Linked DNA regions of Nothobranchius furzeri. The protein of the gene in region 2 binds, or shares a complex with, the protein of the main gene of each other region. Links are inferred from orthologs where the notes say so. Each region holds a gene or a part of one and is shown on either strand. Other genes may lie near its edges.

Region 1 (5,252 bases), on a different chromosome or scaffold from region 2:
TTCATGGCGTTGATGAAAGCCTCATTTCGTGCAAAGCAGCTCTGCACTACATTGTCCATCTTGTCCTTAAAGTCCAGCAGGTCCTGGACCATGTCCTTGTCTTTCTCTGGTGTGCATACAATCTCTCCACCAAATGACTGCAACCAGAAAACGCATGTATTCACATTTCTCAGACATAACGAGACTAAGCTACGTTAGTCTAGTTTATTACATCTACCTTGATGTAATCCCTCCAAAACTGCAGCAGAGTAGGAAGTCCTCCCTTCCCTTTGCTGAAGAGCTGGTAGAGGAGAGTCAGCTCGGTAACACGATTCTCATCTAGAAGATTACTTAGACCTGGAATGAAAACAGCCATGAAGGCATATGACTGCATGTGTAATTGGATTTTACAGACTGGCACGGACATAGCAGCAAACCTTCAATGGTTGAGCTTTACCGCCAGATCAAATTAACTCATTAGGAAAAAGCTAAAACAAACAAACCCAGAAGGCCAAAAGAAACAAACCCTAAACAACGGAGCTCAATAGAAAGTTTGTTTAGTCAATTTGTTATGGTTTCTGATTTATGAGGTTCATAAAACGTGTAAAACAATTAACTAGAGCGAGATTTATGTAAACAGACAGAGCTTTCTTTAAAAATGATTGGCTGTAAACAGAGTTTTGGGAATTTGACTGCTGTGTTTCACAAGGAGGACATTATATTACATAAATTCAACCCAGCTGGACCAGTTATAGGCGATACATCCACATCAGCACCACTTCTGAAGAATCTCACACGGCTTCACACCATCGCTTATCTTCTGACAATAACAGATGTACCTTTTTGCAGGATTGCAGTCATATGTTCTCCTAAAAGCTGTTTCTCAATGCAGTTAATGAGAGGTTTCCTGTGAATTGAGCAAAAAGAAAACACAAGAAAGAAGGAAAACTAAGTGTGTGTAACAGGAAACAACAGATACACACACAATACTGTACAGTTTGGAGAAAAGGATCGTCTACAGCAGACATCTGTGATCCAAGGTTTTGTATACAAGAACATCAGAATGAACTAATTTAGTCTATCAAATCGGAAAAATATCCAACCTGTATTATTATTTATTTAACCGTGTTTAAAGACTGTAAAAATATGTTTGCTTCCATATTGATGTGTGTCGACTCTGGTTTCTTCTGTGAATTTTGGTCAGTTCTGATTAATCTCAAAGAGCTAGAATTATCAGAAAATATTTGCTCCAGGGTCTAAGCCTTGCTAAAGGGTGAATAAATCCTGCTGTGACAGTTCCAGATCTTACTGAGTGCTCTGGTCGAGGTAGCTCATGATTCGGTCATTCTCCTCCTCTAAACGTCGAGCCACATGGTGCAAGTATTCTGGTACCTGCACGAGCACGCACGCACGCACACACACACACACACGCACACACACACACGCACACACACGCACACACTGCTAATTCACAATTTACTTTAACCGCATGATAAACAGACGAATTTATCATCTCACTCACGTCTCTCTCCTGCATCAGCCGTTGTCCCTCAGCTGCATAGAGACGATTTGTCTCAGTCAAAAATCTCTCCTCAAACGAGTCTCTATAAACCTAAAATGTTTTTGTTAGGTTAGATGATTTGTTGGAAAATAATCTTCCTGTGCATTTACAGATGTGATAAACTGGAGATGGTGTACCTGCAGGTCTGACAACATGCCCAGTAAACTCCGGAGAAGGCTGCGATCAATGGTCTCGCCGTTGCGCTCCAGCTCTATCTGCTCCAAAAGTCCCTCCACTGTTCGCTTCTGAACAGCAACATCGCTCACGATGTGGGTGCGGAACAGTTCCAGCCCGGTGTCCCTGCAGCACATGAACAGCATCAGCTTCCTGAGAGCATCCTGACAGACCGGGAAAAGCTCAAACGAGCCGAGTTTACCAAATGGAGGGGAGCAGAGAGTTCTGAAGCACATAGGTACGATCCAGGAAGAGAAAGATACTTCGGATCATTATCTACAAACAGGGACACAGGTTGGTTCATTTATGCTTTACTGACATTTATTCTACAGTTTTTATATGGAAATCTATCAGACGTTGCACTTACAGTTTGCCTGCAGTGGTCCTGCCAGCATCGATTCATTCGCTTTAGGAAGGAAAGGTTGTCCAGAGACTCTGTGAGCTCCAAGTTGAGGAAAAAACGTCAAATTTATCAGAAGTCTGAGTCGAGTTTATGGTCATCTGATGGTAGAAATAGTCAAATATGTCTTAAGCTGTAAACATCTGAGCCACACTTGGGGTTAGTCTGACACGACTGAGCACAAGTCAAAAGGATATTCTCTGAACTGATGGATCTGGGCCTGAACGTGATCTTCACAGACTTGACGCAGCTGTTTGTAGAGTGTGGGGGAAACTTTATAGGAGCACAGGTTCTCCACCGCCTTTCAGTGACATATTTCATCACAGACAAGAAGAAAAAATAATAGACATGTTAGCAGCTGACACGATGTCACATGTCTAACCCAAAACTGAGCTTGTTTGTTTTAACAGACAAACCTGGTAGAGCTCTTCCAGGTTGTACTTAATGGAGGTGCTGTTCTGGATGGCTCCTACTGCGTCTCGAAGCTTCAGCCACGTGTCTTCTGTGTAGTTCTCTGATAGCTTGGGCCTATCTGTAACCAAAGCAAAGCAAAGGTTGCACAATTTATAAAGAGAACATCATGAAATGACAAGATAAGGCGTGTGTTTACCACTAATCGATTGACTGATTGATTTGATTGATTTGCTTTATTGTCATTGCACAAAAAACCCACACTGTAATTTTGACAAAAAAATCCCTTTGCTTGGCAACCCGCAAGATAAAAATGTGAGACTATAAATTGTAGCCTTAAAAATACTTATTATAAATCAATGAATAGTTCAGTGCAAATTATAAATTGCAGTATACTTAAAAAATAATCTTTCACTTGGCGTTCAATAATCAAATACTTATCACTTGTAAGTCGCTTTGGACAAAAGCGTCTGCTAAATACATAAACCTAAACATAAATACTCAAAGGTTTGAATGAATCACGCTTAAAATAACAATAATTTCTACTATCTGAAACATTATTTTCAGCTTCAGTAAACTGTCACTTCCCTTCTTTCATGTCATTTTGGCACTGACCTCATATAAACTAAGTGTTTTCATCCTGTTGGTGTGGGTCATGAAACACCAGGTGGAAGATTTTATAAAATAAAATTAACTTTAAAATGATCAGAGTTAAAACTCTTCAAAACAAACGTTGTTTTGTAAACATTTAACTAATCTATGCTCCATCTGATTTGAAAACATGTATGATAGCTTTGATCAATCTAGCAGTCGATCTACGCTCCTACCCTCACCTATGGCCACAAGCTTTGGGTAGTAACTAGGGATGTGTATTGGTGAAATTATAGCAATACGATACTTATCACGATACAGGGGAGGCGATATAATATCTCACGATACATTCAGTCAGACGATATTAGTGATATTTTTAGACTGAATTTATTGTAAGAAAATTCATTAAACAGTCCAAACTGATACTGAACATGTTTAACATGAGTTATCTGAACCATAATAGAGGGATTTACATTTCAATGGTGGAAACAAACCCTTTGCACACTGCTGCCAACTAGTGGTCGGCGTTTGAATTGCACCAAAAGAAAAGTAAATACGCAAATGTTTGCGTGTAAATTCTTCCAAAAATTAGAGACACAGCTTTTGAAAATCAATACAATATTGCAGGAAAAATATCACGATATATTGTGATATCAATATTTTCTATACACGGCTTTTAAGTATTGATATAACATCGCTGGAAAAAATATCCTGATATACTGCCATATCGATATTTTTTATATCCCTTGTAGCAACCAAAAAAACGAGATTGTGGATACTAGCGGCCAAAATTTGTTTTCTCCGCAGGGTGTCTGGGCTCTCCCTTAGAGATAGGATGAGAAGCTCAGTCATCCAAGAGGAACTCGGAGTAAATTTGCTGCTCCTCTACATCGAGAGGAGCCAGTTGTGGTGGCTCGGGCATCTGGTTAGGACATCTCCTGTACGCCTCCCTGGTGAGGTTTTCCGGCATGTCCAACAATGAGAACACCTAAAGGAAGACCCAGGACATGCTGAAGGGACTACATTTCCCATCTGGTCAGGGAATGCCTTGGGATTTCCTTAGAAAAGCTGGCCCAAGTTAGCCTAGTGAACTAGACCAAATTCTTGCTTTGCAAAGTTTGCAAATAATACATTTATTTAGTCTGGCTTGCCAGGCTAGGCCCAAGTGGCTGGAGAGAGGGAAGTCTGGGCCTCTCTGTTTAGGCTGCTGCCCCCGTGACCTGACCCCGGGATAAGCAGACAAAAATGGATGGATGGATGGATGATAGCTTTTCAACTACACTGCAGAAGTACATGTCAAATTAATTAGATCAGTAACAAAACAATGAAAGGTCTAAAATGATTTTAGTATCGAAAAGTCATTAAAATGCCTTGTTTTGACAGAATTTTGGCAATAAAGTAACATTTGTTGGAATTGTTATAAAAATGCAGGTATTTGGTACTACAATACAAATCTGTTTATGGCACAAAAATAAAACTTTAACAGTGCATCAAGTAGATCAAATACATTGCACTCCCTCCCAAGAGATGTGTCATACAGAAAAGCCTTTCAGGGTGTTATTTTATCAAATGAGAACAACCTTTTTGATCTCCATGGTTCCAGTAACGATGCTGCTTTACGGCAAAAAGAGAAACACTCAGGGACAGTACCTTTAAAGTTTTTGATCACTAGTTTCTTTGAAGCACCAGTTTTGCTGGACGTCCTGGTCATCCCGTTGGTGCCGTGCTCCGTTAGCGCGGAGAAGCTGGCCCGCTTGTCCTGTCGGGTGTCCTCTGCCATTATCAGATTAGGCTTAACGCTGTATGGTTCAACTGATTTTCTAAATTACTGCTGGATTGTTCTGTTTTCACCGTCTCTCAGCTGAGCGAGACGTCTTTGGTTAAAAGCGCAGAAAGTTAAAAGTCCATTTAAAACTCAATAACAGGCGTGCAGTGGCCGAGCTAATCAGGAAAAAAACTACCGAACGCTAAGTAAACAGAGAGCGTGCTAACAGTGTGTTATCTAAAACTGCAACACACTTCAGCAAACAGTTCTCGTCTCATTAGCAATACTTTAGCGATGCAGACTATCCATGCCGATGCGGGCTAATTGCAGGTTTTACCCCGCTTTGTTACCGTATCATGCGAAAGTACACG
Region 2 (5,316 bases):
ACCAATGTATTTCCGATGTTTATTACGTTTAATTTTGATATTTATAGGTGACAACCAATGAAAACATCAAATCTGGTATCTCAGAAAATTAGAATATTCTAAAGGCCAATGAAAAAATGTTTGTTTCTCTAATGTTGGCCAACTGAAAAGAATGAACATGAAAAGAATGTGCATGTATAGCACTCAATACTTAGTCGGGGCTCCTTTTGCCTCAATAACTGCAGTAATGCGGCGTGGCATGGACTCGATCAGTCTGTGGCACTGCTCAGGTGTTATGAGAGCCCAGGTTGCTCTGATAGTCGTCTTCAGCTCCTCTGCATTGTTGGGTCTAGCGTATTGCATCCTCCGCTTCACAATACCCCATAGATTTTCTATGGGGTTAAGGTCAGGCGAGTTTGCTGGCCAATCAAGGACAGGGATACCATGGTCCTTGAACCAGGTGCTGGTGGTTTTGGCACTGTGTGCAGGTGCCAAGTCCTGTTGAAAGGTGAAGTCTGCATCCCCATAAAGTTGGTCAGCAGCAGGAAGCATGAAGTGCTCTAAAACTTCCTGGTAGACGGCTGCATTGACCCTGGATCTCAGGAAACAGAGTGGGCCAACACCGGCAGATGACATGGCACCCCACACCATCACTGACGGTGGAAACTTTACACTGGACCTCATGCAACGTGGATTCTGTGCTTCTCCGCTCTTCCTCCAGACTCTGGGTCCTTGATTTCCAAAGGAAATGCAGAACTTGCTTTCATCAGAAAACATAACTTTGGACCACTCAGCATCAGTCCAGTCCTTTTTGTCCTTGGCCCAGGCGAGACGCTTCTTGCGCTGTTTCATGTTCAAGAGTGGCTTGACACACGGAATGCGACACCTGAATCCCATGTCTTTCATGAGTCTCCTCGTGGTGGTTCTTGAAGCGCTGACTCCAGCTGCAGTCCACTCTTTGTGGATCTCCCCCACATTTTTGAATGGGTTTGTCGTCACAATTCTCTGCAGGGTGCGGTTATCCCTAGAGCTTGTACACTTTTTTCTACCACATTTTTTCCGTCCCTTCGCCTGTCTGTTAATGTGCTTGGACACAGAGCTCTGCGAACAGCCAGCTTCTTTAGCAATCACCTTTTGTGTCTTGCCCTCCTTGTGCAAGGTGTCAATGATTGTCTTTTGGACAGCTGTTAAGTCAGAAGTCTTCCCCATGATTGTGGTGCCTTCAAAACAAGACTGAGGGACCTTTTAAAGGCCTTTGCAGGTGTTTTGAGTAAATCAGCTGATTAGAGTGGCAGCAGGTGTCTTCTATATTCAGCCTTTTCAGAATATTCTAATTTTTTGAGATACCAAATTTGGAGTTTTCATTAGTTGTCACTTATGAATATCAAATTTAAATGTAATGAACATTGGAAATACATTGGTCTGTGTGCATTGCATGAATATAATGTACAAGTTTCACGTTTTGAATGGAATTACTGAAATATTTTCAACCTTTTGATGATATTCTAATTTACTGGCCAGCACCTGTATATATGTATTGTGTATATATATATATATATATATATATATATATATATATATATATATATATATATATATATATATATATGTGTGTGTGTGTGTGTGTATGTATGTATGTATGTATTGCCAACCTAGAAAAATGTTTGCCCCTCTTCTGCCACCCCATAAATAATTGTCTAGATCCGCCCCTGGATACTGGATCGGAGTCAATCAATCTGGGTGGGTGGGGGGTGGGGGTGGGTGACAGATCCCCCCCGTCCCCCACCCTATCTGTGCACCTGGTCTAGAGCCACTAGTGTGTATGTTAAGTCAGAGTAATTGAACATCTGAACATTAGTTCAAGTCAAGTCTAACTTTATAAAATTATTTTCTGTGGTCTGACTCGAGTGCAAGTCATGTGACTCAGTCCACACCTCTGGTAGCTTCTTCACAGAAAAAAGCTGGTGAGTGGTCTGAGGACAGTTGTTAGCTTCAGACTGACTTTTTATGAATGAACAAACACTGAAGGTAAAAAGTGGCGATATGACTGACAAACATAATGATTTAACTCATAAAGGAATCCCGCGCTTCTAAAACCATTTCATCTTCCTTGTTTCTGGTGTGTTGCAATTACATTTAGTGCCAACAGATGGCGGGATTTCATCTCTAAGCTATTGGGCCTACTGATAACCATAGAAGAAGAGAAACCCCCCGAAGAAGCGGAAGAAAAAGCATCGGCAACGTAAACACACAAAATGTCGCAGCCACCAGACACTGGGAGCTTTTTATCAGCCTCTTCTCAGCTCAACCTCATGGAAGCGGAACCGGTGAGAGAATTACGCCCCGTTATACCGTCAGCTATACGAGACCGGTTCTCCCGGACCCGACCAGGTTCCTCCGTCGTTGGGTCCAGACCACAGCTTGTGGTCCGCCACACACAGCAGCATCAGCTGCAACAATAACAACAACAATAGCAGTCTTTGGACGCAGCATGCTACATGTATCGGTCTTTGTCAGATGACGTACCGGGTGCTGTAGCGCTAGCTGCTGATAGCTGAGTGTGTAAACACCAGAAGCGTTGCTCGGTTTGTGTGTTGTGAGCTTATAAACCTGCAGAAATGGTCCACTCCTGTTGTGTGAAGAGCTGCCATGCTGTTGGTTTTAGGCTGGTGCCATAATATTTTGACGCTCCCCCTGCTGATTTTTGTCCTTGCATCAGTTTTAGTAACTGTTTGATATACCAAGGGAGTTCTCCGTTGTGTATCTAAAATACAACTCCTCATCTGCAGGTATTTCCAGAAGTCTTGCTTAGGGATTCTGTACTACTAACTGTGTAAAACTCATCAGAGTATCCCCCTCAAAGACATCTCCTAAATAGATGATCCCCGCCTCTATCCATCCTTTCCAATAGAGGCTTTTTTTTAAAATCACTGTAAGAGCTTTGTTATACCACAGAGATGACCTTCTAGCCTAGTGAACTAGACCAAATTCTTGCTTTGCAAAGTTTGGTCTAGGCATGCTCCATTGGAACCTCTGCAGCTCCTACCAGGACTCTGGCTAGCCAATCACAACTCTCTAGAGGGGTTTCAAACACAAAGAGCTGTGATTGGTCCATAATGGTGGGCCAATCATAGTGCTCTATCTGCTTAGTGAACAAATCACAGAGCTTTATCCACTTTGTGGGCCAATCAGGGCACTCTATATGCCTGGTGGGTGGGATGATGCAACAGAGTGAAACAAGAGTATGTCACATTCATTGTCCAGTGGAATGCGGAGATCATTTGAAAGACAACGGTAGAACCCGCCCCACAACCGAGAGCCGTCAATGGAGCGTGGCCAGACTAAATAATACATTTATTTAGTCTGGCTTGCCAGGCTAATGACCTTCTAGTGAAAGAGGGATTCAAATTAGCCATTTTATGTACTGTATGCCATGTTTTCCTGGCGAATGCCAATACTGGGTTCCCAGTTGAGACGTCTCCCCCACTTTGAGAAATATAGTCCTGCAATGGCATTGGGGCAGTAAGTTCTTTTTCAATTAAACTCCAGACCGGGGCCTGGTCCTCTGGCCTATATATTTTTGCCATTTGTTTGAGAGAGAAGGCATACTGGTACCAGTCCATCCTTGGTAGCTCCAGACCCCCATCTTCTTTTGCCGCAAACATTTTAGTTCTATTCAATTGAGGTATTTTATCTCCCCACAAAAAGACTGCCACTGCTACATTAAATCTTCTCAGTTATGAGGGGGGGAAAGCCATGGGTAATAGATATGCAATGTAATTAAGTTGTGAAATCACTATCATTTTAGTAATATTTATTTATCCTAATAGAGACAAACCTATTTTAGCCCAATTTTGTAGCCTGCCCTCAACTTTTAAAAGTAAGGGGAGGATGTTTTCCATCACAATATCCTTTAGACCTGGAGTGATTTTTATCCCCAAGTATACTAATTCCTTTGGTGCCCACTTAAACTGCCAATCCTGCCAAAGGCTTGGAGGAATTGAGTTAGACAGGGGCATATCTTCTGACTTTCCCCAGTTTATCTTATAGCCAGAGACATTGGAGAAGGTCTCGATCACCGATAGGATCTGAGGGACAGCTACTTCTGGATTAGTCAAATCAACTTTATTTATGTAGCACTTTCCATACAAAAAAAAAATGCAACTCTTAAGTGCTTCACAGATTAAAATGGCCCCATAGATCCCCTGCAACGGTGGCACAGGAGTTAAGTGCTCGCCCCGTAATCAGAAGGTTGCAGGTTTGAGCCCCGCTCAGTCTGTCGCTGTCGTTGTGTCCTTGGGCAAGACACTTAACCCACGTTGCCTGCTGGTGGTGGTCGGAGGGACCGGTGGCGCCAGTGCTCGGCAGCCTCGCCTCTGTCAGTGCGCCCCAGGGCAGCTGTGGCTACATTGTAGCTCATCCCCACCAGCGTGTGAATGTGTGTGTGAATGGGTGAATGACTGATTGTGTTGTAAGTGCCTTGAGGGGTTCCAGAACTCTAGAAGGCGCTATATCAAATACAGGCCATTTACCATATATCTAGCCCAGCCCCCCTCCCCAAGTATAAAACAATTGACAATTGCATTTCCCCTCCCGCAACCAATTTCCAAGGTGAGCGTACACTCACCCACACACTCGCACGCTCGCACACGCAGTCAGTAGTAGTATGTCATCCGCGTACAAAAGTAGTTTATGCTCCATCTTACCTGCTAATATCTGCTTAATATTTGTATCGTTCCTGATGACCGCCGCCAGAGGTTCTAATGCCATGGCAAAGATTAAGGGGCTCAGAGGGCATCCTTGCCTTTTACCCCTGTGTAGGAAAAACTGTGGAGATGCCTTCCCATTCGTTAATACGGAGGCCTTCGGATTGCAATATAGGAGCCTAACCCATTTTATAAATGGAGAGCCAGCCCAAACCTAGACAGTGTCTTGAATAAGTATCCCCACTCCACTCTGTCAAACGCTTTCTCTGCGTCCAGGGAGAGGGCCACCACCTGTCCTGGGTCATTTTTAGCTTGCCAAATTAAATGGAGTAATCTCCGAACGTTGTCTGCTGAGGACCTCCCCCGGATAAAGCCCACCTGATCCACGTGTATGAGATGGGGCATATGAGCCTCCAATCTAGTAGCTAAAATCTTAGCCAATATTTTGGCATCTACATTTATAAGTGACACTGATTTGATCTAATTTCAGAGAAAAATAGAACAGGTTAGATGCACCTAATAAATAAAATTACTAACAAACTCAGGAGTCTGTTTCTTTGCTTCACTGTTTTGGTGCTGAGAATATCACTAATGCGGATCAAAGGAGATACACAGATGAATGCACCTCTTA

Evidence for each region. The genes of interacting proteins can lie anywhere in the genome.
Region 1: vps8 (region 2) and tgfbrap1 share a complex: the UniProt entries of both Homo sapiens proteins name them as parts of the putative class C core vacuole/endosome tethering (CORVET) complex. The link is inferred for Nothobranchius furzeri from reciprocal best matches to the Homo sapiens genes VPS8 and TGFBRAP1.

Annotation. Positions count from the first base shown.
Region 1 is NC_091749.1:37,399,451-37,404,702, forward strand, and holds the start of tgfbrap1 (transforming growth factor-beta receptor-associated protein 1 homolog), read left to right. Parts: upstream 1-1,900; 5' UTR 1,901-1,916; coding exon of another isoform or gene 1,917-1,990; 5' UTR 1,991-2,008; intron 2,009-2,081; coding exon of another isoform or gene 2,082-2,150; intron 2,151-2,310; coding exon of another isoform or gene 2,311-2,415; intron 2,416-2,530; coding exon of another isoform or gene 2,531-2,646; intron 2,647-4,766; coding exon of another isoform or gene 4,767-4,896; exon of another isoform or gene 4,897-5,110; intron 5,111-5,252. Other genes in the region: cul4a (cullin-4A), read right to left, coding at 1-137, 218-336, 819-886, 1,289-1,371, 1,502-1,591, 1,678-1,840, 1,917-1,990, 2,082-2,150 and 3 more. UniProt on the Homo sapiens protein: Plays a role in the TGF-beta/activin signaling pathway. It associates with inactive heteromeric TGF-beta and activin receptor complexes, mainly through the type II receptor, and is released upon activation of signaling.
Region 2 is NC_091752.1:59,816,234-59,821,549, forward strand, and holds the start of vps8 (vacuolar protein sorting-associated protein 8 homolog), read left to right. Parts: upstream 1-2,152; 5' UTR 2,153-2,234; coding exon 2,235-2,306; intron 2,307-5,316. UniProt on the Homo sapiens protein: Plays a role in vesicle-mediated protein trafficking of the endocytic membrane transport pathway.